5 linked regions of the Cricetulus griseus genome follow. The protein of the gene in region 3 interacts with the protein of the main gene of each other region in a pairwise test. Links are inferred from orthologs where the notes say so. Each region holds a gene or a part of one and is shown on either strand. Other genes may lie near its edges.

Region 1 (5,414 bases), on a different chromosome or scaffold from region 3:
CAGCCAATGCTCTTAACTACTAGAAGGAGCCAAACCTTCAGCCCTGGCAAAATAAATCTTAAAAAAAAGAAACCTGTTCTTTTGGGACTGGCAAAGACATATATATCAAATGGAAGGAATGGTGACTTCACCTCCAGCTCCCTCTCAAAAACTTGTAGAGGAGTTGAGGGTGTGGCTCATTAGAGGGACACCTATTTAGCATGCCTTTAATCCCAGCACTAGGGAGGCAGAGGCAGGCTGATCTCTGTGAGTTCGAGGCCAGCCTGGTCTTCAGAGCGAGTGCCAGGACAACATCCAAAGCTACACAGAGAAACCCTGTCTCGAACCCCCCCCCCCCCCGCCAAAAAAAAAATAGACACCTATTTAGCAAGCAACAGACCCTGTGTTCTATCCTCAGCCGGGAAGAAAAAAACCTGTGGGCTGGGTTATAGTTCAGCATTTGAGAAGCAGAGACAGGCAATTCTTTGAGGTTGAGGCTAGCCTGGCCTACACAGAGTTTCAGGTAAGCCAAGGAGTCCAGTAAGACCCTGTTTAAAAATAACATTTGCCATGCCGTGGTGGTACACGCCTTTAATCCCAGCACTTGGGAGACAGGCAGATAGATCTCTGAGTTTGGCCAACCTGTTTTATACACCAAGTTCCAGGACAGCCAAAACTATGTAACACAGAAACCTGCCTCAAAGTTTATTATAGAAAGGAAGAAAGATAATCAGTACATTTTGGCCAAATATGATGGCATATCTTTTTAATCCCAGCACTCAAGAAGGCAGAGACAGGTGGATTTCTGTGAGTTCGGCATATAGAGTGAGTTCCAGTACAGCCAGTGGTATGCAGAAACCTTGTCTAAAAAAAAAAAAAAAAAAAAAAAAAAAACAAGACAGAACATGATAGAACATTGTCATCTGGAGAGTGTGAGATAAAACAGCCAGAAACACAAGAAGATGTGAAAAGAAAGAAGGACAACATTATTGAGCATGAGAAAGAGCAGCCAAAACTTGCCTCTAGGTGCTTGGTGGCTTCTTCATTGCGGGACATAAGCAGCAATTTAGTTCGAAGGCTTCGAAAATGCATATCACCCAGCAAAGATGCCCTCTTCACAGGGGCTTCTGTGGTTGACTGGGAAGAAATGAATAAGTTTTAAAAGCAAAATACACCCCAGGGAGCATCAGATACTGGGCACCATAATGCCAGAATCCCTGAAAGAAGGCTCATGTCAAGATGAAGTTCAGCCAGGCCATGGTGATTCAAGCCTTTAATCCCAGCACTCGGGAGGCAGAGGCAGGCAGATCTCTGGGAGTTTGAGGCCAGCCTAGTCTACAGAGTGAATTCCAGGACAGCCAGAGCTACACAGAGAGAAATCCTGCCTTGAACAATAATGAAGTTTAAAATAAGACGTGGTAACACATGCCTATCACCTCAAACCTAGGGAAACTAAAGCAGGAAAACTGTCACAAACAAGTGCTGCTTCAGCTACATAGTAAGTATAAGGTCAGCTGGGGGTATACAGTTAAGACCTGTCTCAAAGGAACAAAAAAGAAATGAGGTAGGCTCCAGGGAAATTACTGTCAGTTACATAGTGGCCGGACAGACAAATTCTGACAGAAGTCATTTGACAATAAGGACTTAGTACAAGGTGAGAGTTATATAGCGTGCCCCCCCCCCAAAAGAGTTATATCAGGGGTAGTGGTGAATGCAGCAGGTAAAAGCAGGTAAATCTCTGAGTTTGAGGCCAGACTGGTTTACATTGTGAGTTCTACTAGGACAGTCAAAATGTGACCATTTCAAAAAAAGAAAAAGATTTCTTTATATGTGTCTCTCTGTGAATGTTATGTATACATAGGTACAAAGACAAAAAGAGGGTGTCAGGTACCCCAGAACTGGAGTTACAGGTGGTTGAGAGACACATGAAAAAGGTAGAGACAGGAGTTCCCAAGGCTGGCTGACTGGCTAGTTCTGGATTCAAAGAAAACACTATGTCTTGTAAAGCGTACAGTGACTGAGAAAGATAACTGACACCAACACTTCAGGGCCACCCCCTCCCAATGTGCAATTCAATGCATTCAAGTATGTACACACACACACAAAGATCCTGATATATCCAAGAGCTAGGGTACTTGTCTAGAGCACATAGGTTTAACCTCTCACACTGGGGGTTTGAGATACGGCTCAGTGGTTAAGAGCACTAGAGCTCCTCTTCCAGAGGTCCGGAGTTCAATTCCCAGCAATCACATGGTGGCTCACAACCATATGTAATGAGATCTGGTGCCCTCTTCTGGCCTGCGTCATATATGCAGGCAGAACACTGTATAGTACGCAATGAATACATCTGTAAAGAAAAATGTTCTCTTAAAAAAAAAAATCTCAGCTGGGCATTGGTTTAATCCCAGCACTCAGGAGACAGAGGCAGGTGGATCTCTGTGAGTTCGAGGCCAGTCTGGTCTCCAGAGGGAATGCCACGACATCCAGAGCTACCCAGAGAAACCCTGTCTCCAAAAACCAAAAGTACATGAGGAAAACTAAGGAAAGAAGGGTCAGGAGTAACAAAGTCACAAGTAAGTGTGAGTGCAGTCTAGCATATCCACTTCTGCAAAAGTTTATAAAAGGGAAAACTGTTGAAAAGGCCCATGTTAAATTCAAGAAAGAAAACTCACCAGAATAAAGAGCTCACTGTTTGTGATGTTGAGAAAGATGCAATTGGCTCCCAGTGCTTTCTTGAACTCTTTATGGACATTTTCATTGGAGCAGCTGCAGGGAAGAGTAAAGTGCCCAGTAAGAGGTTGACAAAAAGAAGAGAGGAGAAAATAAAGATAAAACCACTGTTTTTTTTTTTTTTGAGACAGGGTTTCTCTGCGTAACAGCCCTGACTATCCTGAAACTCAATGTATAGACCAGGTTGGGATAGAATCATTGTTGAAGAATAGGGATTAAGAAAACTGTTTTTAAAAATAATCAAAGCAGGGCATAGTGGATCTATGTGACTTAAAGGCCATTTTGTTTACAAATGGAGTTTCAGTCCAGCCAAAGCTTGCGTAGTGAAGCCCTGTCTCAAAATAAACAAAACAAAGACAGACAGAAAGGAACAGAGATGAAAAATGAAAGGGCTGCAGATGTATCATGCAAAAAGGCCCTCACAGGACCTGGGGATGAACAGAACAAACTGAAGAGTGGGAGACCTGGGAGAAATAAGGACAGAGGCTAGCACTGTAGAGAGCCCCCAGTTCCCAACCTCTCCAACACTCACGCCTCTCTGAGATCTTCAGGCACAGCCATGGTAACCTTGAAGAAGCTGCCTTTGGTTGCAAGGGGGTTGGGATTAACAGGCCGAAGTCGTTCCAGGGTGACAATCTCATTGTAGGTAGCATCACAGGCAGCATACTCAATGACATAAAACTGGCGAAAGGAAAAAGTGTATGACCTGACCATCCATTTGCTACCTTTCCCTGGACAAAACAACAGTTTCAGGACTTCCCCAAAGGGCTTTAGTCACTCACATCTCCCTTCATCATCCGAACCCGGGCCAGCCACCAACCACAAGGTTCCTGTTCATTGGCTCTTGAATAAACCTGGAAAAGTTAGAAATACAGAGACACAGCCCTGAAGACTATATTAAAAAACTGAAGAAATAAAGCCGGGTGTGTTGATGCACACCTTTAATCCCAGCACTCAGGAGGCAGGAGGATCTCTGAGTTGGAGGCCAGCCTGGTCTAAGTAGTGAGTTCGAGGACAGCCAAGGCCGATACACAAGAGAAACACCACCTCAAAAAAATAAAAAATAAAAAACAAGGGCTAAGCCAGGCGTTGGTGGTGCAAGCCTTTAATCCCAGCACTCGGGAGGCAGAGGCAGGCGGATCTCTGTGAGTTCGAGGCCAGCCTGGTCTCCAGAGCGAGCGCCAGGATAGGCTCCAAAGCTACACAGAGAAACCCTGTCTTGAAAAACCAAAAAAAAAAAAAAAAACCAAGGGCTAGAGAGATGGCTCTTTGGTGAAGAGCACTGCCTGCTCTTCCAAAGGTCCTGAGTTCAATTCCCAGCAACCACATGGTGGCTCACGTCCATTTGTAATGAGATTTGGTGCCCTCTTCTGGCCTGCAGGCATACATGCAGGCCAAACACTGTACACATAATAAATCTTTAAAAAAATAAACAAAAGAATTGGAGAAAGCATTCGGACACTTAAAAAGGATTCCTAAGCCCACAAAAATAAAACCAGAGTAAGGAGATACTAACTGAAAGTATGAGATCACTGAGTTTTAATTATTTCATTTTTCTTGTAGTGGCCAAGAGCTCATGGCTGTCCTGACCACCACTTGTGAGCTGTGGCACACTCCTGCCTACAATCATGCATACACACCCCACAAACACACAAATATGCCCAAGGCGCTGGGTTCAATTCCAAGTCTCACTCACACTCAAACTCACATATGTATACTACAGGACTAGACTTTAAGTGGATTTATCACACACAAAGAAGTGTCCCCTTTAAACTGGTGCACCCTCAGATCATACCCATGAAATCAGTTAAGTTAAAAACCCAAAATCCAGCTGAGTCATGTGGATCTCTATGAATTTGGGACCAGCCTGGTCTTCAGACAAGTTTTCAGGCAGCCAGAGAAGCCCTGTCTTGACTAAACAGAACAAAAACAAAAACAGAATCCTGAGGGGAAAAAGGCAAACTAACACTGGAAAGCTGGACTTCACAGGCCTTACCTCGACCTCATCACCTTCTGTGATCTCCTTATTATAGTCAGCTGGAGGTGGTAGCCGGACATCCCCAAAAGGAATCTGTCTCTCACTTTGCCAGCTACAAGACAAGCAGTGACATGAAAGCTATTCAGGTTGATGTAATTGTCCACCTTTTCACAAGGGATTACTCCCTTGCCAAGACCACTTTTATCCTACTTGATCGTCAAAGAGTCACAACAGGCTCTTTTTCCATAGTGGTCTTTTATCCCTTGATACCAAGTATCAAATGACTACAACTTGCACCTAGCTATCTGCCCTTTCTTTCCTGGAATTCTTACCCAAACTCTCAGCTCCTCCCTGCCACCTACCAGTCTCCACCTTTCACTCTCCTTTTAGGACCTAGTATGTTTGTCTACTCCCAAGGTCTTACTTGTTTTCAAAGAAGATGGTGACAGAGTCTTCATGGACATCCTTCACAAAGCCCTAGAAAAAAAAATTTAGGAAACATATGTAAATATATTTAACCACCTTAGCCATCAGGAAGAGAAATCAGAAACCTTTAAAATTAAGAGGTTTAGCAGGGGATGTGAACAGTCTAAAACAATCAGGAAGCTGTATTGGAAAAGGATATAAAGAATAAGAGAAAGGAAACCATACTGACAAAATCTAGAAATAACATGGGATAAGAAAAAAGTAGAAGCTCCACCAGAACAGTCTGGAACCTGGTGATCTA
Region 2 (6,072 bases), on a different chromosome or scaffold from region 3:
AAAAGACCCATTCAATATCTACAGCATGAAGGAAAGGCATAGGGTCACTGGGGTTATATCAGACAGACTGGAATGATTGGATGATATGGAGGAGCAGTCAGGGCAGAAGGACAAGGTAGAAATCATAAGCATTTGGACTCAGAAGACCAGGAATGTCACAAGGCGATTGTCAAGAGGCGAACTCTCAGGTGCCACTGGAGGATTTCTACTGAAGAAGGAAAGAGTGTGAGTGTGATATGAAATAATAACTTTATGTATGAAGAAGACTCAAATAAACACCAGTGTTGTAAAGTCACATAAGGCTATACAGTCTTTTGAAAGTGGAAATGAGAGGACTTTGCAAAGTCAGGGTTGAGAAAAAGTCTCACTTGTAAAAAGGGAGAGGGCTACATTAATAACATTAGACACAAACATGGATGGAATGATTTATGTATAGATAATCCATTGATGCCCTGGTCTGCAAAGATGAACCTGACTTGTGGGCTTCTCTCTGAGAACTGAAATGCACAGAGAGACAGGTATATCGCAGCTATGTCCAGAGGAGACAGGACTGAGAATTGGGTTAGTTGATGTGTAGGTATTACCTCACCAAGACCCAAAGACTATCATTGAGATATGGGGAAAAGCCTGGAGAGATGACATACGCTGCCCTACTAGGGGACCTGGGTTTGATTCCTAGCACCTATATTGGGTGGTTCACAATTGCCTGTAACTTCAGTGCCAGTTCATCCAATGTTTCTGGCCTCCATGGGCACCCACACTCACATGCACACCCCACTTCCACACATATGTATATAATTAAAGTGGAAATAAAAAGCATAAATGTGGGGAAACTCAACTATAGACACAAAAGTGGCTGCCCGACTGCACCCGCAGGGAATGGAAGCACCTGTCTGTACAGTGTGCTGACATGGAAAAGGAGGATTTCTCTGGGAAATCTTGCAGAGACTGCTGGCTGACAAGCAGAGATGATTTGCATGTGTTCAGGGGCAGCATTTAGAGGAAAGGGAAGTTGGAGGTGCTGAAGGCTTCCAGCAGACAGAGACACAAAGCACAACTGTAGATCTGGGGCAGGTGACAGTTTTCTTAACAGATGCCAGGGGATAAAAGAACTTCAGAAGGAAGGTGGGCAAGTCAGAAAGAGCCAAGATGTGGAGCTCTACCTGGAAAATAGAGATGACAGCAGTATGATAGAAACAAGAGGAGACAGAAGTATAGGGTCAAACTTAGCAAAAGAAGACAGGCACATCAAGGTTGCAGTGACAACCAAGAGAAGAGACAAGGAGGCACAGGGAGGTGGGAGAGCCAACAATAGGTAACTGATAATTGGCCGGGGGCAGGATTCACTAGTCTCCTCCTTCTAACTGAATAGAGAAAGGCAATGAGTAGAAAGTCAAATCTTTTGTTTTTATTTCAACATTTGGGAAATGCTCAGTTGTGGCAGTAGTCCTATATTAAATAACTGGGACCAATAAAACTATAACCTTGCTTTAATTAGAAAATAGGGGTAGTTCAGTTAGAGCATGCACACACAGACACACATATAGACAACAACAGCAAAGTAGGAACTCAATAGCTGAGGCATGCTTTGTCTGTAGTAATACAGTTGATTTTTGTCAACACAGAGGGAACACATTAACAAATATGTGTACTACATTTTGGACGTGAGGGCACTGAGATACAGAGAAAAACACAGGTGAAGGAATATCTGCAAAGTCGTTTGACTGACGGGTGATGGAGTTGGGGCTGGAACACAGACAGCCTGGCTCCAGGATCTAGACTCACACCCGCTGGCTTCCTCACATGTATGAGGCAAGATAGGCAGAACAAGGCATGCCGAAAGTACCAAACAGGCCATTTCATGCAATGTGTGTACAGGAGAGATGAATGCTAGCAAAAATTCAGAAACATGCGTGGGTGCTCAGAGCAGTTAAAGTGGTGGGTGGGAATTCTGGAGGCAGTTTATGGGATGGTGAACCAGGGAGCTGAGGAAGGAAGTGTCTGGCTGGCTGTGTGGCCACATCCTAGCTCAACACACCAATAGGGTCCCATTCTCTCTACTTTTTCTTCCACCGCATCCCCTTCCCAGTCCAAATGGCTTCCCCATCAGAACTGCAGGGCACACAGGGATGAAAGAACCAGGCATGGGGTACAGGAAGAGTTATCTTAATGCCATGCCTTTATCTGTAAAATGACAGAGTACAACACCTGCTTTTATGGAAGGCTGTGGCATTAAGTGGAGTTACTGACTTGAGAAACAGTCCAGGAAATGGAGGAAGAATTGTTGTTTCTCATCATTTCAGCCACCCTTTCCATTTTCCTCTTCAACTCCAAAATCTTCCTTCCTCTTCCCAACTTACACCTGAGTTTCCATGTAACAATATTAACCTTGAAACCTATTCCTCAAACAGGACAGATTTTAAATACATTAGATCCCTTTCCCATGAGTGGTTTTGGGGTCCAACTGCTGTTGGTCCACTTTGGGAGAAACATCAAGTGACCAAATTCACAAGCATTTGGTGAAGCACACTAATTGTTCTGTTATTTTTCATTGCTGTTGTTAATGTTTTGCTATACCTAATCAATGAACTGAATGATGAGAGCCATATAGATTCAGGAAAGGCATGGCATGTATGGTTTTGGACACCTAATGTTTCAGACATCCAGTTTTGCCTAGGAATGCTTCCCTGCAATATGAGGGAGTGACTGCATGTCCTTTCTGCCTCTGGCCCAAGTTTATTTCCTATTAACACAAACTCTCACTCACCGAGGTTGACCGGAGAACTTGGTCATTTATTTCCATCTCTGGATGTTATTCCTCATCCATGGAAGAACTGGTTTCTACCTGGCTGAAATCTCTTTCCATCTCATTACCTATCATCTTTGTAACTGCCACCCACTGAATCCTGCAAACAGCACTCAGTACATGTGTTTCACAAACATGTCTTCTCTGAGTTAGGATTAACTGAAATGACAGATTTGCCACATGCCATCAGAATCCCTCTTGGCCTTGATGTCCCACCTCTTACCCTGTAGGTTCCGCATGGGCAGTTCTCTAAGCCCGGTTCTGTTTGTCCCATAGTTGGACAGGACAGCTAAGGCATAGGTGTTTTCATACAGAGTGTTCCCCCTGATGATCTGCAGGTTCTCCAGAGGGATCTTCTCCACAGTGTTGAGGGCAATGAGCACATAGCCAGCAACCTCCTGGATGGTCTGAGAGGGAAAACAAAGCCTATTAAAGTGGGCCCAGGAGCCCCATTTAACTTCACAATGACACATTCATGTGGCAGATAAATCTAAGACACATAGACAATCACATGTGGGTAAAGGTTGTGGCAGGATTTGCAATGATTTCTTTCACGTTTCATTTGAAGGTTACATTAAAGAACAGCTGATTGATATGTTGTGATTCCCACTTTAACTCAAATAAATGGAAGTGAAAATAACTATTTTGAATTCATCTCTCATGATTTCTTGTGGAAGGAAGAAGTGAGGGAGAAGGGGAAGAAAAAATGAAAAAGAAATAAAGGCAAAGTAAACCCAGCTGAAGTCCAAGTGTTTGCATAGCAGATTTTGAAGCCTTCAGAGTTGGCTCCTAATGGCTCACTAGGAATATTTAGGACTGTGGAACATCAGAAGGGTTTCTCTCCCATTTTCCCCCACAAGCAACTTGACTTTAGCTGGAAGAGTGGACTTCTCATAACACTCTCCTATAGTCCCTTGGATTTGTGGCTTCCATAAGATGAAGTATCCATGCCTCAAGTCAGATTCTACTGAGTGTTCATATTTCATTTGATAGTGTTTGAATAGGACAACCACATTAAACGAACTAACCTTTAAGAAGGAAAGGTCATAACCCCTTTGCACGTAGGTAATTTCCAAGTTCCCAAGGACCACTTCACAGTTGTTGAACATCCTCTGCAGGCTCAGAAAGTGGTCTTCAAAAGTGCCGAGTTGAGTGAGCCTGTTACTTGTGCCTTGGCAAACTAGAATAAAAGGGAAAGAGGTCTGTCAGAAGATGCCGAGTAAGGTAGCAAACCACAACAAAACAATACTCATCAGCTTTCTGAGCCACAGTGACTAACAATCATCTTTGATCAAAGCCACCACAATGCTGATGTGGTAAGAGATGTTTAAGTTTACACAGCTGTAATTCATCGTGAGACAGAACTCATCCCTGTGATGCAGGCAATCATGTGATATTAAGGACACAGAGAAAACAAAGCATTAAAAGTGGAAGGCGGGGGAGATGTAAATTGTATAGAGGATTGTATTAGTTACTTATTTTGTTTCTGTGGCAAATCACCAGACAAAATCCACTTAGTGAGGGAAGGGTTTATTTCAGCTTACAGTTCTAGGGAAGACAGTCAACTATGGCAGAAAAGGAATGGCAACCAAAATGTGGAACATCTGGTCACATTGCATTCACAGTCAGGAAGAAGAGAGAGGTAAGTACCTCTCAGCTCTCTTTCTCCATTTTAATTAGTTTGAGGACCCCAACCATGGAATGGTTCTGGCCACCTTTAGGGTAGAAATTCCCAAATCAATTAACCTCATCTAGAAAACTGTTCACAGATATGCCCAGATGTCTATTTCTATAGTGATTCTAAATCTTGTCATGTTGACAATCAAGTTTAACTGCAGAAGTCTCTAAAATAGAAAGATAGCAATTAAATTTCTGTGGATGACACAATTGCAAAATGAGTTAATAACAATGCAATGAACATTTTACTTCACAAAAATATGTGTGCTACATTGTTGTGTACACAAAGGGTCTCCAAAACCACAAGACACAATCGGCAATGTTTTCTAACCCCAATTCTATATACCTAAAAATCAATGAAAACAATGGAATTTTAAAAGTCAGCTGTTAGAAATTAAAAATACTCCTCAGAATCATTCAAGGACAAATCAAAGTTCTGATTATAGAATACCCAGAATTCTTTTTTAAACTGAAAAATAACGCTTTAAAGCCATAGGCTAGTAAGAACCCAACATGTCCTTCTGTCTTTTTTCACATTGTGTTATTCCAACTAACACAGGTATCCATGTTTGTCTTGCATCCCCGCCAATATACAGCCTGTCAAGACACAGACTTAATCCGAGAAAACATGCGAAATTAGGGGCCAAAGTTATACCACAGAAATGCACTCAGTAGTCTGCATTTAGAAGCAGAGGAAAGGATAGTAATAAAATGGTATTCACAACTTGGCTTTTGGGGAGACATGTTTAGGCAAGCAAAACAAAACAAAGAGGCTTGGAGCTTTTGAAGCAGGGAGCTTGTTAAAGGATATACTTTGAACCAAAATTATCCTAAGAGTGAAGAAATATGGCCTCTGGGTTTAGACATTACATTTGGAACTGGCCAGATCCTTCTGTGTTGGCAAAGTTTCTCCCTTGACAGTCACAGTAACGAGGGGACAGAGCACAAAATAAGGCCAATGTCAACACAGTGTTACTTTCTTCAGGTACCTTTACAGTATGTATTACTGTTTTATAGGCTTCTTTGTTCCCTCCCCTTGGGTTGTTCTAAGAGCATCATCTGTCTGGCCTGGCATGATGGAGCCACAGTAAGCAACCGGCACATGTTCAGACACCACATAATCAACCCAAGGCATTTACAGACACTATGAAGCAATCTTCTCATCCTCTTTAACTCTATGGGAATCTCCCTAGCCCTCTTCCATTTTCTCTAATTCAGCAGAAGTAAGGGCTGTCACATAGAAACTGTGAAAGTTGACAGGTTTGGCTCCCTATCTCCCACCTGTAAAGACAGGGTAACTTCATAATTCTTCCAAATATGACTTTGACTTGACCCAATATGTCTGGTCTGCTTTTATCTAAGAGAATGAGCTGCTCTGATGTTTGCCTCCACTAGGAACAACTGTTTAAGTCTTCTGTGCATACAGATGCTTAGGATGCCGCTATAAATGTATCTTTAGGGGTTTGGCAATAATAGGTCACCTTCCCAAAGTAACATTGTTGATTGGCAGCTACCTTTCCAATTAATAGGCAGTAGCTTTTGATTTTAATTCTTACTGATCAATCATGGCCCCAGTCACCACAGGTGAC
Region 3 (6,049 bases):
TGCAAGGTCACTAAGCTTCTGGGAAGGACCACAGCTTCACCCAAGCATGACAGACCATGTTCTTTCCAGAGAGAAGTAGAGAAGTTTTCTTTCCATCCCTCAGACAGACAGACATACGGACACACACACACACACACACACACACACACACACACACACACACGTCTATGCAAGTTTACTTGAGCCTCAGGGCTGGTCCCTGCCCAGAGGGCTGGACCCTTTCTCCAAGTCATCTCCTAGATAGTGGGGCTGGTCCCTAACTGCCCTCTCCCCTGCCTGCTTGCCCTGGAGCCTCCCATACACGTTCTCAATACATTGGTACTTGGATAAAGCCCAAGTTGGGGCTCCACAGAGGGCTCTCCAGTAACTGACAGGTTCTCTACTTCGCTCCTGCCCCCACATGTCCTTATCTGCTGCCCTGCCTTCATCTTCACCATGATTCCTGAGAGCAGAGGCAGGAAGCACAGACCGTTGAAGTCACACAAGAGGACCACTGAGACTTCCAGACGGTTCCAGTTCTTTTTAAAATTGTTTTCCACCTTACATCACAATTTTCTCTTTAAAACTCCACTACAAACTGTACTGACTTACCCAGACTCATTTTCAGGGCAAGGGTGTCAGAGCCGGAGATGTAGCTCTGTAGTAGAGTGCTTGCCTAGTGTGCCCTGGGGTTCAGTCCCCAGAAAATGCCTCCCCCATCAAGATATCCTTAGCCCACGCTTGAGGGCAAACTAAGGTAGGGATATTTTGACATTCATTCATTTAACAAATATCTCCTAGGATTTTAATGAACAAAGGGCTATGTTAGAAGCATGACTCAGTCTTACCTGTCTCCAATACCCTGACTCTGCCATATTCTCAAGAACCCCGCTACAGTGCTCACGCATTGGATGCCAGCATTCCATGATCCCATCTTTGATTCACTGCTCTTTCTTTGCCAAAATAGTGTCATCCATTCTCTTTTCAATTGCTTTTGATATGCTGGCCATTTCTAAACATGAATTTCCAACCCCAGCTTCCCCCACTCTTTAGATCTCTTTATTACCCACTGGACATCTCCAGAGGCATGTCCATATGTCCCTAGACCAGTATTATTCCTCTTGAATCCCTGCCCTGGTGACTTTCACCACAATCTGCATAGGCCCACCAGCCAGGAACATTTATGGGCTTAAATTCCTTCTTCCTACATGGTATTAGTCAGCATATCACACCCTTCCACTCTGGCACTCTTTCTGAAGTTCAGCTGTTCCTCTCCTCCTTCTTAATTTACAGAGCACGGGATTTGGAGTCAGGTTGGTTTGGGTTTGAATTCCAGCTCTACCATTTTTGGTTGTGTAATAGTTATTTAACCTCTCTGGAGCCTCAGTCCTCCTGTATGTAAAATGATGATAATAATACCTACCTCACAGGGTTGTTGTGAGGATTTAAATTAGATATTGTACGAAAAGTGCCTAGCACAGTGCCTGGCACACAATAGAGTAGGTGCTCAATAAATGGTAGCTATTATTATTATTATTATTATCATTACTAATTTACTCTAAATTGGCAAACATTTAGAGTATGTTGGGAAGGGAAAGCTTTTGCAAAGATAGACTTGAAATCTTGAATGGTGGTTCAAGGGTTAGAAGTATCTGGTTTTGATCACTGAATAATGTCCCAAAGCCTTTTGATAGTCTTTTGAGAAATGTCATGTCTTCATCCTGTTATGTCCTGGCTTCTGGAAGGAGGTTGCTAGGAATAGTAAGATTAGCAACTAGATTTCCCCATTCCACCCCACCCCATTCCTTTCCACCATATAGAAGTCTTGGGCCTGCTCAGCAACAGGATGTCTCTGCCTACAGAGGGACAAGAACCACATTTTCTTGATTTGGCAAGAACCAGGCAGGCTTTTTGTGTCCAGGGTTAGCTCCACCTCATTCTCTCAGTTTGGATAACATGAGAGATGGAATTTCTTAATTCCATGCCCAACTAAATTGAGGTGGGGTTGAGGCAGGGTCTCTTATGTATCCCTGGCTGTCCTAGAACTCCCAATGTAGACCAGGCTGACCTCGAACTCACAGAGATTTTCCTGCCTCTGCTTCCCCAGTGCTGGGATTAAAGGAGTGCACCACCAGCACACATAGTCACAGGTTTAGCTGAGAAAAGCGTTACCTAGTTCTGCCAAGAATTAGCTTTGCCAAGATTTGCCCTCCCCACTCTTCTCTTTGGATAATTAGCCCTGGGAGAGGCCCAGTCATGATTGTAATCGACACCTACCTTGGGAGAATCAATCCTGGTGTTAAAAAGCAGAGAATTCAGCTCTAACAGGCTCATGCCAAGTTCTGTTTGTAAAGTGAAGATAGCCAGTCTTCGGAATCTGAAGACAATTACAGACTACAGTAATTCAAAATTTACAACTGGTTTGGACAAACAGCTTTGATCTCTCAAAGCCTACCGAAACAATCTAACTAGGAATTGGAAGGATTGCAGAGACTACACTTCCCATGATACTCAATGAAGCAAATGAATGGGAGGAGTGTACTATGACGCGTGTTGCCAGCAAGACGCACTAAGGCTCGCGTCGGTTCTCTCGAAGGCCGTCGGTAGTTGTAGTTTTGCTAAACCTAGGGCGCTCTGATTTAGCAGTTTGAAAGCTGCGGGGGCTGACGGGACTTGTAGTCGCCGCTGGAGGCAAGTGCGCAGGCGCAGCTGAGATCAGGGCGGGGCGGGGCGGGGCGGGAGCACTGCAGTGAAAGCCGAGGCAGCGGACAGGCGAGCAGGGGGCGGGCGGACATCTTGGGATCCGAGAGTGGCCCGCCGGCCTTGTGGAGGCTGCTGACTCCAGGTGAGCTGGGAAGCTGGACTTACCGATCCTTACCGGGCTGGCGAGGGCGCCGTGGACCCCGGCCGTGCCCTGCACTGCCCTGGGTGCAAAACTGCCCGCACCCGGGAGTGGCCTCAGCCTTCAGACCCGGGAGGGAGCGGACGACCGGGCGGAGGTGCCTCGGGCGCGATTGCAGCAAGGGCGGGGAGCGACGCCCTCCAGTGACCCGCCGGGCGTCTCTGGGGAGAGACAGGGGCCCGAATCCTAGAGCCAGGACGCCGCGCGGCGCCCCCACCCCTAGAATCCTGGCAGCGCTCAGCCCTGAGGCGTCCCATCTCCCCCATCCCCCAGGACAGTGACATCCCCTTGTGCCACTCCCTTGGACAGTGACAGGTCTCGAACCTTGGGATATTCCTTCCTCCTATTTAACCCCCACGGCTCTTTCTCCTCAGACCTGTGACAGCCCCCGCATGCCGCGGTGCCATCTCCCTGGCCTGGATATCTCCTCCCTTGGCTGAGAAAACCCCACCGGCTTCTCAAGCCTCACTAACCGCAGAGTAGGCCTTGTCTCTCAGCTTTCCCTTTTTCTACTGTCAGTATGTCTCCGCCGATTTTTGCTCCTCAAAAGCACCTATGACCTTTGCTATATGAGAACTAATTTAGGGCCTCGCACAGCCGTCTTAGCTGCTGTGGGGTCACCCTAGTATATTGCTAGCAATTACAGCTAACCATTCCCTTAACTAAATATTCCATGTCTGTCCAGGACACACACAAGTACAACCAACCCCCATCCGCGGTTCCAGTGCCCTGAGCTACCTTCTGCTTGTTACCTGTGGACTTAGTCCTTTGCTCAGGACTCAACCTCCATTTTACATTTTTTTTTTCTCAGCTTCTTTGGAACTGTGAGATGCAAATGAGTCCACCACCTTAAGAGACTTGTCATTGGTCTTGGATTTATTTTCCAGTTTCAGAAAGTCTGTTAAACTAACTCCTGTGAAATTAATACCTGGGCTAATCCAGAAAATCTAGAACCAGATAACCCCTTTTCTCCAATAGTCTAAATTAGTTTTGACCCAAATACTTTGGACAATTGAGGCATTCTATGATCCCTGCCCATTGTTTCTAAATACCAGGCCTGAAGTGAATTACTGGTAGATCATAATTTAGATGGGAGGGTTAATGCTACACACAGACCTTATTTTTAATGCACTTCAAAATTTTGAAAGGACAGTGACCAGAAATTACTGTAGGAGAGGCTCAGCGATTTAAGAGTACTTACTGCTCCTCCAGAAGACTTGAGTTCAGATCCCAGCACCCATGTCAGGTGGCTCATCACTGCTTCACATCCAGCTTCCATACACACAGCACACACACTGGCATGTACATACATGAAGGTAAAATAAAATCTTTTTTAGGAAGAACTATAATAAGCTACTTGGGTTATGAAGTGTGTTTTGTCAGCACTGGGGGCCTCTGCTCCTTTGCCTGCTTATCTCACTGCCTGGGAAAGATGTACCTGCTTCAGCCACTTTCCTGCCTCCATGGGCCTGCTTTCCCTCCCCTACCCCCTCCTGCACACCCTTTCCTGGAATGTGTAGACTTCTAGAGGTTCATGCTCTGCTGCCTTCCTGGAAGAGTTAGTGCTTGCTCTAAGGTTGTGCCTGGTGGAGGTCCCAGGCTCAAGCCAACTAGAGTAATTTCTACTGCCATTTCTGCAACCGCAGGCAGGCCTTCTCAGTGAGTCACTGGAAGGAGCCTGAATTGGAGCCTGCACAGCAGGGGGTTGGAAAGAATCCTTGCTGAGCTCAGCACTGTGAAGAAGGGGTGGGGGTTACCCTCTGGCCCAACCCTTGGGAAAGACTAGATGAATGTGACCTTAATCATGGGCCCCCACGCTCTGAAATTGCTTTCTCCTATCCAGTGTGGAATAAACAGGAACTGGAGCCTAGCTGAGGAGGTGGGGCTTCCCTAGGAAAGCTGCAGGGTCACTTGTTAGAGGACTGAGTCAGGAAAAAAGCCAAGCCTGTATAGCCCCACTGGGGGCTTGGGCAAGGGTTCTGAAGATTTCCCTTACCCTACCCCCACCTTTCCTTCATAGGTCTGTTCTCAGAGCAATGGGTCACAGAGACTGAGCTGCCACCATGATTGGAGGTTTATTCATCTATAATCACAAGGGGGAGGTGCTCATCTCCCGGGTGTACAGAGATGACATCGGGTAAGTTCCTTGGCTGAGCATGCTGTACCCCAACCTCCCTGTCACCTCAGCCTGAGCATGCAATATAGCCTGGTTTCCATTTAGCCATTGGCCTAGCATCGAGACTCGGGCCCTCGGAATGACACCCTCCCCCCAAGCTGCCAGGCTTAGGAATGAATCCCCGCCCTTCCTGTTCCTGTATCTCTGAGGGTTAGGTCTGGTTGCTAACGATGAGTGCTTTCCCAGTCAGGTTGATTCTTCCATTCAGGAGGGAGCGCTATCTATCTCCAGTGGGTGTAGTTAGTACCAGGGCGAGGCACTAATCCATCCAAATCTTGCTTTCAAAATGCTTCTCATATTGAGAGTCTTCCCTAGATCCCTGTAAAATCCTCTTTGGTGGGTTGACTTGGCTGTTTTCACTTCTGGGCCCTTTCTGATTGTGAACAGGCTTGAAGGGCTCTGTGGGTCATGCTGCCTTTGTAGTTCTCTCCATGTCCTAAGTCCCTTAGACCTTACAGAGAGCTCCCTGCAGCTTTGCTTCTCTGCCTTACACCGTGGCGCTTTGCTTACTAAGATCCTCCACTGCTCTAACCTGAGGCTAGGCTCCTCTGGTACTTCCTACCTTGTGTTTCTTTCTCAAAGAGCTTGAGAGAAATAGTCATGGAATAGCTCTGTCGTAGCTCTCCTCTCTTGTCTCCCTGGCTGATGGGCTCACTTGATGTGGCCTCTGTGGCTGCATTCATTGTTGTAAAGCTGAGGTAGGCTTTGTGGCAGTGCCTTGCCTAAGTGAGCCTGGCTGGTCCCACTCACCCCTTCCTCTTCCTCCTACCTCTCTGATGGTTCTGGTTGATGCTACAGCTAAGCCACATGACTCCCCGCATGTCTCGGTGTGCTCCCCACCTGCTGCCTGTCTGCTGCCCCCTCATGGTATGTGCTGCCCCCGCCCTTGGTGTGTTGTGCGTTGTCTAACCCTATCTCTCCTTGCTGTCACTCTCCTCCTCTTGATGGCGTCATTTCTCTCATCCCATCTCATTGGCTGATGTAGCAATAGG
Region 4 (5,229 bases), on a different chromosome or scaffold from region 3:
TCTTCGATTGTTTGTGGCTCTGCAGGGCTGTATGGTAAGAGGAAGGAGAGGAAGGGAGAGGAAGTGTGAAGGACACTGAGTCCTGACTGTTGGACCCTCCTCCCCGACAGGACAAAGGAAAGGAACTCACTGGGCTTGGCAATGCCCTAAAGAATCCTCTTGGGAATGTTGGCCTCCTGATAGGAGAAGCAGGCAAACAGCTGAGGCGGTAAGCCAGGGACAGGGCCAGGGAAGACAAGATGGTAGGCATGCAGCAACTAACCAGTCACCCACTCTTCCATTTCTTTCCAGGCGGACAGGACTTGGGAGTGGTTTGAGTCTCTCCGGGGTTGTCCACCCAGAGTTAAGTCACAGTGGTGAACTGGTGAGTGGTCCTTTGAGCAGAGCCTACAGCCGGGGGCTGGGCTGCCTTCTTCTTCTGAGCTCTGTGACTCTTGTCTCTTCAGACAGTGCAGGCTCTGGAGCAATTTGCCACTGTAGTGGAGGCCAAGCTGATGAAACACAAGAAAGGGATCGTCAGTGAGTGAGCCCTGCAACCCCCTTACCTTCCGCCCCATTCCCTCCCTCCTCCCCTCAGACTGCTAACCCCCACACCCTCATCTACCTGACAGATGAACAGTTCCTGCTGCACCGGCTGGCAGATGGAGCCATTGACCTCTATGCCATGGTGGTGGTTCTCTCCAGGTAGGAAGGCAGAGTGGGAAGCTTGGGAGCTTTGAGCCACAGAGTAGCTGGGCCAGTACCACAGCACAAGATTATCAACCTCTCATTTCCTTACAGAGCTTCAAGATCCCTGAGTGAGGGCCACCCCGAAGCACAGCATGAGAAAATGCTCTGTGACAGCTGGTGTATTGAGGTGAGCCTTGGAGGTACCCAGTGCAAGTGGGGAACTGAGACAGAGGCCTGACCCTCTTTTCTCCCCCAGGCTGCAGCACGGATCCGAGAAAACATGGCTAACCTGCAATCCAACCCTCAGCAGCAGCAGCTCTTCCGTAACTTCAAAAGCATCTCCAAGGCCATGGTGGATAGTGGTGGCGTGGTGACCAGCAACCCCCTTCGAATCTGAATACACCCAGTCAGGCTCTAGCATCTAAGTTATGTGCCTTCCCTTATGCCAAAACACAGGCCCCCTTTATGGGGCCCCAATAAGTGTTTGTTCTCTGGATTCTTTACTGCCTTAAGAACAATAAACTTTCTAACAAGCCACCCTCTGCTGCTGCATCTCTCCAGTCCCTCCTGTCCAGAGCCTGCTTCCATCCCAACTTTCTAACAAGCCCCTCTGCTGCTGTACCTCACTGGTCCCTCCTCGTGTCTCCCTCTTCTCCACTGCCTGCCTCCCAAAGAAAGGAGCCAGAGGCTTGGGGAATTGGCCTCTATTGCTTTATTTGGTATTTTATACAAGTGACTAAAATAAATAGAGTAACAAAGGCAGCTACACAGTCCCCATGTACACACCACCAGCTTCCTTGGACTGCTGTCTAGGGTACCCAGGCCCCCCCCTTCCTCTTCCCAGGGTACCACTAACCACCACCCACCCTCCAAGTGACTGCTAATGAGGCAACTGGAGGTGGTGGTCATATTCTGGGGTTAGAAGGGACCCAGGAAATTTTATATGAAGGGTTTCTTCACATAAAAGAGAAAATGTCTACTAAAAAAATACTCCCCAAAATATAAGAAAGTCTATTTTAACCCCCCAAAAGGCTTATAAAAAATAAAGCTAAAAATAACCAAAGGTCCCCGACTACCCCTGAGGAAGGGGAAGGACCAGGCACTGCTGGTGAGAGTCACAGTGGCAAAAACATTGTGGTAGGTATCAAGCACCAGGATGAACACAGGCACTATAAGGAGCACCAAGCTGAAACTTGACAGGCCAAGGGCACGGACCCAATGCGGCCTCAGGGTAGGCCCTACATAACATCTACAAAAAATTCACTGGGGTTGCCCATGGCCATGTGGAAGCTCTGACGGCTAGCTGTCAGTTCTGGGGGCACAGAGCCCAGGTCTCTAACTGGAGGAGCACCAGGGGGCTGCACTGCAGTAGAGACAGGGGGTGGGGGTGGAGGCATCATGACTACCATCATGGGATTATAGGGGAGAGCCATGCCAGGGGGAGGTCCATAGGGATGGAGCCCTGGAAGAGCTCGGAGATTAGGAGTACCGCCTGTTGAGCCCCTGGATGGAGGGGGACCCCCATCACCAGTCCCACTGGGTTCCCCACCCCGCCGAAGGCTGCCTCCCCGGCTGGAAAGCTCGGACTCACTGCCACTGCCAGACTTTGACTCAGGGGCCCGTTCCTCAGGCCTCCCTGTGCGCCCGGCCCCCCCATCACTTCTTGTTGACCCACTGCTCCGGCTCCCTGTTGGGGGGGGGGGAATGGGGTAAGTGAAGCTCAGTCCAGAGTCCTCTGGATTCCCGAAGCCCCTGCTCTTGCCTCCTCCCTGAGTCCCCTCTACCGTGCCCTCACTCTCTAGCTGTATTAGTATGTGGGGTGACTTACCTTCACTGTGCTGGCTGCTGGCACTGCCTCCACCGTAAGTATAGGATGAAAGCTCGTGGTAGGGTGGAGGCTGTGGGCTGTATGGGTGTGGGGCTGGGTACTGGTAGGAGAAGGTAGGCAGCAGGGGCCAGGGGGTAGCTCCAGGAAGAGGAGCCAGGGTATCCTGGTCAGAAGCCCCACTGGAACCATCATTGTCGTTCAGAGACAGGTTAACTAGGTCTGGAACAAAGGGAAAGAGAGGTCCCTGTTTTAAGAGGCCAGGATTCCTGAGAACAGAGAGAAACCGGGAACCATTTCCCCAGAGCCACCCACAATGGGAAGGCCAAAGGGATTATGGCGGCTTGGAATAGGAAACTCAGCTACTAGGGCACAGACACAACCAGGGTCACTAGCCCAATATGCTTTTGTGGGACTCATGAGGCACTCTTTCCCTTGGGAATACAGTTCTGCAACTAGTACCTGGCTTGTTCAGCAGTATATAGGCACATATCAGCCCCCATGGTTGGCCACTACAAGGCCAAGCGTGGAACACACAGTGCCTGACTACCCTGGTGGCCATGGCTACAGTTCCTGGGCCAGGTCTAGGGTTGGACTGAAGAACAAGGTAGGACAATCTGCTCTCCCACACCAGGGAAGGTGACTTACAACTTTCACAGCCACCACTGAGGTCCCCGAAGACATAATAGCACTGCTCAGAAAAAGTAATCTTGTTGACAGTGTGTCGGATGAGTCCCGCCTTCAATAGTCCACTGGCATACTTCCGGGCCTCCCGGCGCTCAGGAAAGCCTTCCACATGATGGTACAGCCAGTCTACCACATCTGAGCCTGAGATCAACAGTGGGAAAAGTCAGACTTTCCTCCCAAACCCTACCCTCACCCTTGTGCTGTTCCCGGCCTTGGTCTCTTCCTCCCCTTCCCATGCCACCTTGCTCAGGGTCTGGGAATACCTAGAAAGGCATTTGGGATGGTGATCTTGAGCCACATGCGGTCCCGAACTTCTAGCCCAGATTCTGGAGCTGCCATGGCCTTGGTCACAGAGGCCATGTCCATGTGGATAGAGAGACCCCGGCTTTCACAGCCTAACAGAGGAGAGAACAGAGAACTGAAGAAAGGTTCACTCAAACAGGGAGGTGGGAAGGGACTTGAGACTCACCATCAGGCAGGGACGAGCCAGATGTAATAGTGCTCATAGATGAAGAGCCCGGATAAGCAGGGAAGGTGCCAGTCAGAGCAGCGGAGTGTGACACCCAGGCAGCGGGATCAATTGGCTGGATGGGCTCATCTGGTGCAAAAGTAAAATAATCACCACTCAATCGTACGAAACTAGCCCTGTCCTGTCCCTCCCTTGACCTTCCTGAACCCATCCCCTGTAACTTGGAAGCCCACCCTCATCTTCTGGCACCTCTAATCTCTTTTTGTTCTTGTTTGTTTGAGGCAGGATTTCACTCTGTAGCCCAGGCTGGCCTGGAACTCACTATATATTCCAGGCTGGCCTCAAACTTTGGGAGAGCCTCCTGTCTTAGCCTCCCAGATTCCAGGATCACAAGCTTAAGCCACCATGCCCAGGCTCCCCAGATCTAACTTCAGACCCCTGCCTGAGCATCACTCACTTCGGGGGAGGGTGAAGTAGGCCTGGGGAGAGGGATCCCAGCACTTGGCCACGGTCAGCACGATGGGGCTGTGGAAAAGAGAAGGCCAGTCACAGTCAAGCACACAAAGGGAAGAGACTTCAGAAGTACCAACGTCTGATGCATAAGATACAGGAGAAAGGAACACACACATAACTGGGCTATGAGAACGTGAGAGTGGAGGGCTCCACAATGTGGATGACTCACCAATATGGGCAAGTTAAAAACATAGTGCTGAGTGAAACAAGGGAGTACACACTGTACCATTCATTCACAGGAAGCACGAGACAGGTAACACTGAACCATCTTGTTCCAGGATTCAGGCATGGGTGGAAAAACCCATCAAAGGTTTTCTTGACCAAAGAAGTCAAGAGAGTAATTACCATCAGTGAGGAGGGTGGAAGTGGGAAGGAGTGTGCAGTGGGTGGGCTTTCTGAGGTAGTCACCAAAATTTTTTCATGATTTAAGCTGGAGTGACATGTACTGCCACTTAGATTTGTTATTTTGCTTTTTTTTTTTTTTTTTTTGAGACAGGGTCTCACTATGTAGACCACAATCAAAGTGCCACCTGCCTCTTCCAAGTGCTATGATTAGAGGTGTGTGCCGCCATGCCTGGCCTCACTTCTTTTTTAAATTGCACAACAAAGGTGAAAGAACTTAAAAACAAGAGGCCTAAGGGTGGGAACCTAGCAGAGGCTCACCCTGGTTTGTGCACAATGTCTCTCAGTACCCGTACAGCGTCATCATTGCTCATGTTCTCAAAGTTCATATCATTCACCTGGAAGGGAGAAGTGGGTCAGAGGCAATGTGGGAGGGTGAGAGCCTCTGCCCAAGCCAGTGTCCAACCTGTCAGCACACCTGCAAAAGCATGTCTCCAGGCTCTATGCGCCCATCAGCAGCCACAGCGCCCCCCTTCATGATGGAGCCGATGTAGATGCCTCCGTCACCCCGCTCATTACTTTGGCCCACAATGGAGATGCCCAGGAAGTTGTACTTCTCTGTGGGGGGAGTTCACATGAGGGGACTAAGCCCCAGAAACCCTGGAGACCCTCCCCTCCCCTTCTCTCATTAGGAGCTTCCATACCCATGTTGAGTGTAACTGTG
Region 5 (6,089 bases), on a different chromosome or scaffold from region 3:
GTGCTTCCACAATGTAGTCCATCACTGAGGGAAACCAAGACAGGAACTCAAACAGAGCAGGAACCTGGAGACAGGAGCTGGTGCAGAGGCTGTGGAGCAGTGCTGCTTACTGGCTTGTTCCCTGTCTGTTCAGCCTGGTCTATTGTAGAATTTACAGTCACCAGTCCAGGGATGGCCCCACCCACAATGGGCTGGGCCCTCCTCCATTGATCACTAAGATAATGCCCGAGATCTTATGGAGGCATTTTCTCAATTGAGTTTCTCTCCTTTCAGATAACTCCAGCTTATGTCCAGTTGCTGTAAAACCAGCCAGCGCAGCATCTAATCTGAAATCTTATTTCAACCCGGTGCTGTTTGATACTGTTCATTTCACTTTCCTTCTAGAAGCACTACATTCTGTGACAAATCAGAGACTTCTAAGGATGTAGAGAGAAATAAAATCAGTGGAAATCAAGGAGATGATGTCCCAGATGACAAATGACATGACTCACTTGGAGGCCTGTACAGTGGGATTTGTATGCATGGTTTTAAAACTTGCTGTATTTTCAGTTAACTATCATGTGCACATATATGACTACAAAAATATTAACAATAGCTCTAGGTAAAAAAAAAAAAAATTCTGCCTTTAATCCCAGCACTTGGGAGACAGAAGACCGATGATCTTTGTAAGTTTGAGGCCAGCCTGGTCTACAGAGTGAGTTCCAGGACAGCCAGGGCTATACAGAAAAACTCCATCTCAAGAAACAAACAAACAAAATAATACTGAGGAAAATGGTTCCTATATTTGCTTTGAACTCCATGCTCACATTTCCAGTTACCATGCCAACACCTCTCCTCTTGGCTATCACAATCATCTAAAGTGAAGATAAACCAAAGTAATAAGTAATTGACCAGAAGCAAATTCATTTCCTTCTGGTTCTCGAGCAGTGGTTCGTTCCTACCTCAGGGAGAAAGTGCCTTCCTTTCTCCCTCCCCGTCTTTCCTCTGCTTCCTTTCCAGTCTACCTCGGAAGCATATTGGTACTGCTTTCCAATCGCATCTCCAGTTTGACCACCTCCCATCATGCTCTCTGGGCCTGTGCACAACTTGGGACTGTTGCAAGAGTCTCCTGATCCCTTTCCCCTACTACCCAAGTCAATTCTTTGTGATACCAGCCAAGTAATGGCCAAACATTCTCCACTCTGATTACAACTTGCCCCTACTTAAACCTCTTCAGTGTCCAAGAGCTCTGTGTGAGCAGACCTTTTTTCCTCCCCTACCTAGTAATGTGGACACCAGGTCAGGTTTAATCATTTGCCACTACCCTCCCCACCCACCCACACCCTCACTAAGCCAATATCCTTAAATGTTAGTCAAACATTTATCTTAAAGCAGGCAGACAGAATTTTCTTTTAGAAAAAGTTTCCTTTACCAGTTCACTTCCTCTAGCCAAGGCAGAGTCAACATTCTAAAGATTTTTTTTTTTTTTTTTTTTTTTGAGTTTTGGAGACGGAACCCAGGGCTTCTCACATGTCAGGCAAGCAGCACTTTACCACTGAGCTATCGTCCAGCTCCTGAAATAATCTGGTAGACTTCTCATCAGATTTTTATTCTTTCTTCAGTAATGTAAGAGGGGAGAGGAAAAGGATGGGGAGAAGTGGTGAGGAGCCTGTTAAAGGGATTTTTATTCAAATAACAGAAAAGGCCCTTGTTTCTAAAACTGTAGTTGTGTTATGTACTAGTTCTTGAAATTTTGAAAAATTTCAGCCATCCAGGACTACATATCATATCATATCATATCATATATCATATCTCACATCCAGGCCTCTCACAGAGTGTTACTTTCTTATGGCTATAGTCCTTTTTGGCTGGAGTGGGCCCAGTTTACTTGTCAACCAGAGTTAGCTGACATATTTTCTATTGCATAAAAACTTACATTCTCGTCAACTCCCAGATCACTGGTTTCTCGGTCTGGCTCTGTTCCAACCTCCTTCTCTATCATTATCCTTGTCACACAACAAGCTTGCTCTTTAGGCTTACCCACAACACCAGGTTCACACTGCATGTGCTGCTCACTCTGCCAGGAATCCTCATCCCTCTCTCCTTTCATTAGTCCCCAGAAGTATCTACAACCTTCTGTCCTCAGTCCCATGGTTCATTCCTCAGCTGATACACACTTTTCATATTCTGCTTGGCAGTTCTTGGAATGCTTTCAATCAGTTATTTGTCTGGAGATCATTGCAAACTACTTGACAAATGTAATTTAAAGGTTAACTTTGGCTTACAGTTCCCAGAAATACACAGAGCATCATGGAATGGAAATCATGGCTGTAAGAGCAGGAGGTGGCTGGTCACACTGAATTTGTAGTCAGGAAGCAGAGAGGTATGAATATTCTATGTTGTGCTCAGCTTGGTTTCCATTTTATTCAGTTCAAGACTCGAGCCCATGAGATACTAATGTCCACACACAGGGTGGGTCTTACCACCTCAGTTAACCTTACCTAGATAATCCCTTACAGGAGTGCCCAGAGACTTCTTTCCATGGTGATTCTAAAGCCCATCGAGTTGACAATAAAAATGAACCATTACAGTAAACATGAATAAACATCTATGTGGTAGTTATGTACTTCACCAGATTGCTTACTTTATGAAATTAAAGTTGTATTTATTTATGTACTTTTGCTTTTTTTTTTTTTTTGAGACAGGGTTTCTCTGTGCAACAGCCCTGCATGTTCTGGAACTCACTCTGTAGAACAGGCTGGCCTCAAACACACAAGAGATCCGCCTGACTCTGCCTCCTGAGTGTTGGGATTAAAGGCGTGCACCACCACAACTGGCTATTTATGCACTTGAGTTTCACTTTGTTCTTCAGGCTGGCCTCCAAAATCTGGCAGTTCAAAAGATCCTTTGCCTCTGAGGCTGGAGAGATGGCTCAGAGTTTAAGAGCCCTGGCTGCTCTTCCAGAGGACCCAGGTTCAATCTCTAGCACACACACACAGCAGCTCACAATCATCTCTCAATTCCAGTTCCAAAGGATCCAATTCTCTCTTCTGGCTTCCTTGGGCCCCAAACAGGCACGTGATAAATAGGTATAAATGGAGACAAAACACACATGCACATAAAATAATTTCATAATTTTATTTAAAATAGCTTCTGTCTTAAACCTCCCCAGTTTTGAGGACCATTTAACGTGGCATGGTGGCACGCAACTGTAATCTCGGCAGGGGAAGGAAGACTGATGCTAACTCAAGGTCAACTGCTTTTTGGAGTGAGCTCCAGGTCTGCTATAAGCTGCCTGTCTCAAAACAACAAAAACAAAACGAACATAGTTTTTGGGATTTTTGGTTTGAGCTAGGACCTGCTATTTGTTAAATCATTGTTTACAAAATACCTAAACTGGCAAATGTTCATAAATTATTTCAAGCAACCTGTTTAAACAACCCAGCCCTATCACAGCTGATACAAGAAACAAATGCAAATAATAATCAATAGATGAACAAACAGCAAGAATTTAAAAAATGTATGTTTTGCTTACATGTATGTCTGTACACCATATTCGTACTATGTCTGTGGAGGCCAAAAGAGGGTGTCAAATCTCCTGACACTGGAATTACAGACCTTTGTTAGCTATCTTGTGAGCGCTGGGAATGGAACTCAGGTCCTTCGGAAGAGCAGTTAGTGTTCTTAACCACTAATCCATCATTTCTCTATCCCCTAAAATAGTATTTTCTTGTTTGTTTTTTTAAGACAGGGTTCCTCTATGTAGACTTGGCTAGCTTGAAACTAGACCAGGCTGGTCTCGAACTCAAAGATCCTCCTGCCTCTGCCTCCTGAGTGCTGGAATTGAAGGCATGTACCGCACTGCTGGGCTTCCCTAAAATAAATTTTTATAAGTATTACCTTTTTTTCTGCTTTCTTGTTTGAATTATTAAGAATATATTGCTGCCAGGCAGTGTTGATACACGTCTTCAAAGGACACCGCGCATAGGTGGTACACACAAAATAAATCTTTGATACCTTATGTCTTAAATAAATAAATAGCCCCAGAAGGGGGCGTGGCGAGACGCATGCAATCCTAAGCACTCGGGAGGCACGAGCTTGACGCTAGCCCGTCCGCAGAGTAATGCAGTATCAAATACAAACAAATTCAGAAAAAGGGGAAAAAAAATTCCGTGGTAAATTCAGAGGGCCCTAGATACCGTCAAGAAAGAGATTCCGACCAGGAACGAAAGTGATGAAGTGTTTGTTTCTAGACGGGAAAGCCCCGAGCAGAGTACGTTTTGGTGTGGAGTGAGAAAAGCACCACCAGCAACGGAGATGTCAGAGGAACCGGCGGACGACGCGGCGAAGCGGCTCCCGGCCCCGCGACCCCATATCATGAGCCTCGAGGGGCGACGCAGCGCCAGCCGCGCAGAACAACTCCCAGAGCACGAGGACACGTGCACAGGGAAGAGGCGGTTGAGCTCGTCAGGGTGCTGAGAAAAAGAGGAAGAGCGGGTCCTCACGTGCGCTGCACACTACCGGAATACTCAGCCGCTGACAGCCCGCACCCGTTAGCCCCGCCCCCGGGGCGGGGCTGCGCCGGAAGAGGAACAGCCCGCCGGAAAGGGAGTGGCCACAGGCTCGAAGTCCCTCGCGCCGCTCTCACGTCAGCAGAAGAGGGCGGAAGTGCAGACTACAGGATGCGGTTCCTAGTTGCGTTGCTCCTAAGTGTCGCAGTGGCGAGTAAGACCCCCCAGCCCCCGCCCCATCCCACCCTCTCCCTCAGGTTCTCTCGTCTTCACCTTGGCGGGTTACCACCGGAGCTGGCGTCCTCCTTTCCTGGCCCGACCCTCGGGCCATCTCCACCCTTCTCTCATTCGGCCATCACCGCTGGCATCTTCCAGCGCTGAGAAGCCAAGCCCCCTTCTCTTCTCCCAGCTTTTTCTTCCGAGGGCTTAACTGCTTTTTCTATTTCAGGTGTTACGCCGCATGAATCTAACCCACTCATCACCTCAGGTAACGATAATTCTCCGATTCAGTCTTCTAAAGAAAAACTCTCCAACCAGAGCCCCATGTCTCCTGAGAAGGAAGTGGAGTCTAAGCCGGGAGAGCCCGGCGGGCAGACGGATCAGAAGCAGCAGCCGGGAGAGTCAGGCGGGCAGACGGATCAGAAGCAGCAGCCGGGAGAGCCCGGCGGGCAGACGGGTCAGAAGCAGCAGCCGGGAGAGCCAGGCGGGCAGACCGGTCAGAAGCAGCAGCCGGGAGAGCCCGGCGGGCAGACGGGTCAGAAGCAGCAGCCGGGAGAGTCAGGCGGGCAGACGGGTCAGAAGCAGCAGCTCGGAGAGCCAGGTGGACAGACGGGTCAGAGGCAGCAGCCGGGAGAGCCAGGTGGACAGACGGATCAGAAGCAGCAGCCGGGAGAGCCAGGCGGGCAGACGGGTCAGAGACAGCAGCCCGGAGAGCCAGGCGGGCAGACGGGTCAGAGGCAGCAGCCCGGAGAGCCAGGCGGGCAGACGGATCAGAGACAGCAGCCCGGAGAGCCAGGCGGGCAGACGGGTCAGAGGCAGCAGCCCGGAGAGCCAGGCGGGCAGACGGATCAGAGACAGCAGCCCGCTAACCCAAACCCGGATGAGACGGTGGCGTCGACCATGGCAGCAGTTTCCAGTTCGGTGGGATCTGGACAGCGGCAGGTCATTGCAGCCAAATCCCCAAATCAGCCCCAGACAGCAGATACCCAGTCAACCGGGACTGCACAGCAGCCTCCGCCACCCGATCCCAAACCCGATGAATCTAGGCAGAAGCCCCCAAAAGATGATTCAGATAAGCTCACAAAAGTTCCTGCGGACGACCGCATCTCCAAACCCTCCTCAGATAAGGAGACCGACAAGATTGACAAGACGGAGCTAGCTGGAAAAGGACAGAAACCAATGCTTACTTCCAAAACTGAATCTGGGGAGAGACCGGCAGGGGACTCTGACTTTTCTTTAAAGCCAGGGAAGTCTTCAGAGCTTACCGAAGCTGTGGAAACCAAGGAGACTGAAGAGGGTGATACAGAGCCAGAAGAGGGCTCACCGCTTGAAGAAGATAATGAAAAGGTGTTTGACCCTTCCTCCAGTGAGAACCGAGAG

Evidence for each region.
Region 1: the proteins of Ap2m1 (region 3) and Fxr2 interact in binary tests that used the Homo sapiens proteins (3 or more experiments, as listed by UniProt). The link is inferred for Cricetulus griseus from reciprocal best matches to the Homo sapiens genes AP2M1 and FXR2.
Region 2: the proteins of Ap2m1 (region 3) and Egfr interact in binary tests that used the Homo sapiens proteins (3 or more experiments, as listed by UniProt). The link is inferred for Cricetulus griseus from reciprocal best matches to the Homo sapiens genes AP2M1 and EGFR.
Region 4: the proteins of Ap2m1 (region 3) and Dvl2 interact in a two-hybrid assay, tested with the Homo sapiens proteins (2 studies listed by BioGRID and IntAct). The two-hybrid records come from large-scale screens. The link is inferred for Cricetulus griseus from reciprocal best matches to the Homo sapiens genes AP2M1 and DVL2.
Region 5: the proteins of Ap2m1 (region 3) and Tgoln2 interact in a two-hybrid assay, tested with the Homo sapiens proteins (2 studies listed by BioGRID). The link is inferred for Cricetulus griseus from reciprocal best matches to the Homo sapiens genes AP2M1 and TGOLN2.

What each region holds. Positions count from the first base shown.
Region 1 is NC_048600.1:83,485,378-83,490,791, reverse strand, and holds part of Fxr2 (fragile X mental retardation syndrome-related protein 2), read right to left. Parts: intron 5,165-5,414; coding exon 5,112-5,164; intron 4,800-5,111; coding exon 4,706-4,799; intron 3,564-4,705; coding exon 3,492-3,563; intron 3,391-3,491; coding exon 3,242-3,390; intron 2,746-3,241; coding exon 2,652-2,745; intron 1,117-2,651; coding exon 1,000-1,116; intron 1-999. UniProt on the Homo sapiens protein: mRNA-binding protein that acts as a regulator of mRNAs translation and/or stability, and which is required for adult hippocampal neurogenesis. Specifically binds to AU-rich elements (AREs) in the 3'-UTR of target mRNAs.
Region 2 is NW_023276807.1:89,406,671-89,412,742, forward strand, and holds the start of Egfr (epidermal growth factor receptor), read right to left. Parts: upstream 3,931-6,072; 5' UTR 3,916-3,930; coding exon 3,835-3,915; intron 3,214-3,834; coding exon 3,030-3,213; intron 1-3,029. UniProt on the Homo sapiens protein: Receptor tyrosine kinase binding ligands of the EGF family and activating several signaling cascades to convert extracellular cues into appropriate cellular responses.
Region 3 is NC_048597.1:68,100,060-68,106,108, reverse strand, and holds the start of Ap2m1 (AP-2 complex subunit mu), read left to right. Parts: upstream 1-2,703; 5' UTR 2,704-2,824; intron 2,825-4,901; 5' UTR 4,902-4,944; coding exon 4,945-5,018; intron 5,019-6,049.
Region 4 is NC_048600.1:83,853,275-83,858,503, reverse strand, and holds the end of Dvl2 (segment polarity protein dishevelled homolog DVL-2), read right to left. Parts: coding exon 5,210-5,229; intron 5,124-5,209; coding exon 4,984-5,123; intron 4,904-4,983; coding exon 4,827-4,903; intron 4,176-4,826; coding exon 4,108-4,175; intron 3,780-4,107; coding exon 3,651-3,779; intron 3,577-3,650; coding exon 3,445-3,576; intron 3,323-3,444; coding exon 3,143-3,322; intron 2,717-3,142; coding exon 2,498-2,716; intron 2,357-2,497; coding exon 1,908-2,356; 3' UTR 1,364-1,907; downstream 1-1,363. Other genes in the region: Acadvl (very long-chain specific acyl-CoA dehydrogenase, mitochondrial), read left to right, coding at 1-34, 111-208, 292-364, 447-519, 612-684, 781-856, 926-1,066.
Region 5 is NC_048601.1:64,347,741-64,353,829, reverse strand, and holds the start of Tgoln2 (trans-Golgi network integral membrane protein 2), read left to right. Parts: upstream 1-2,303; coding exon 2,304-2,309; intron 2,310-4,232; coding exon 4,233-4,704; intron 4,705-4,938; coding exon 4,939-6,089. UniProt on the Homo sapiens protein: May be involved in regulating membrane traffic to and from trans-Golgi network.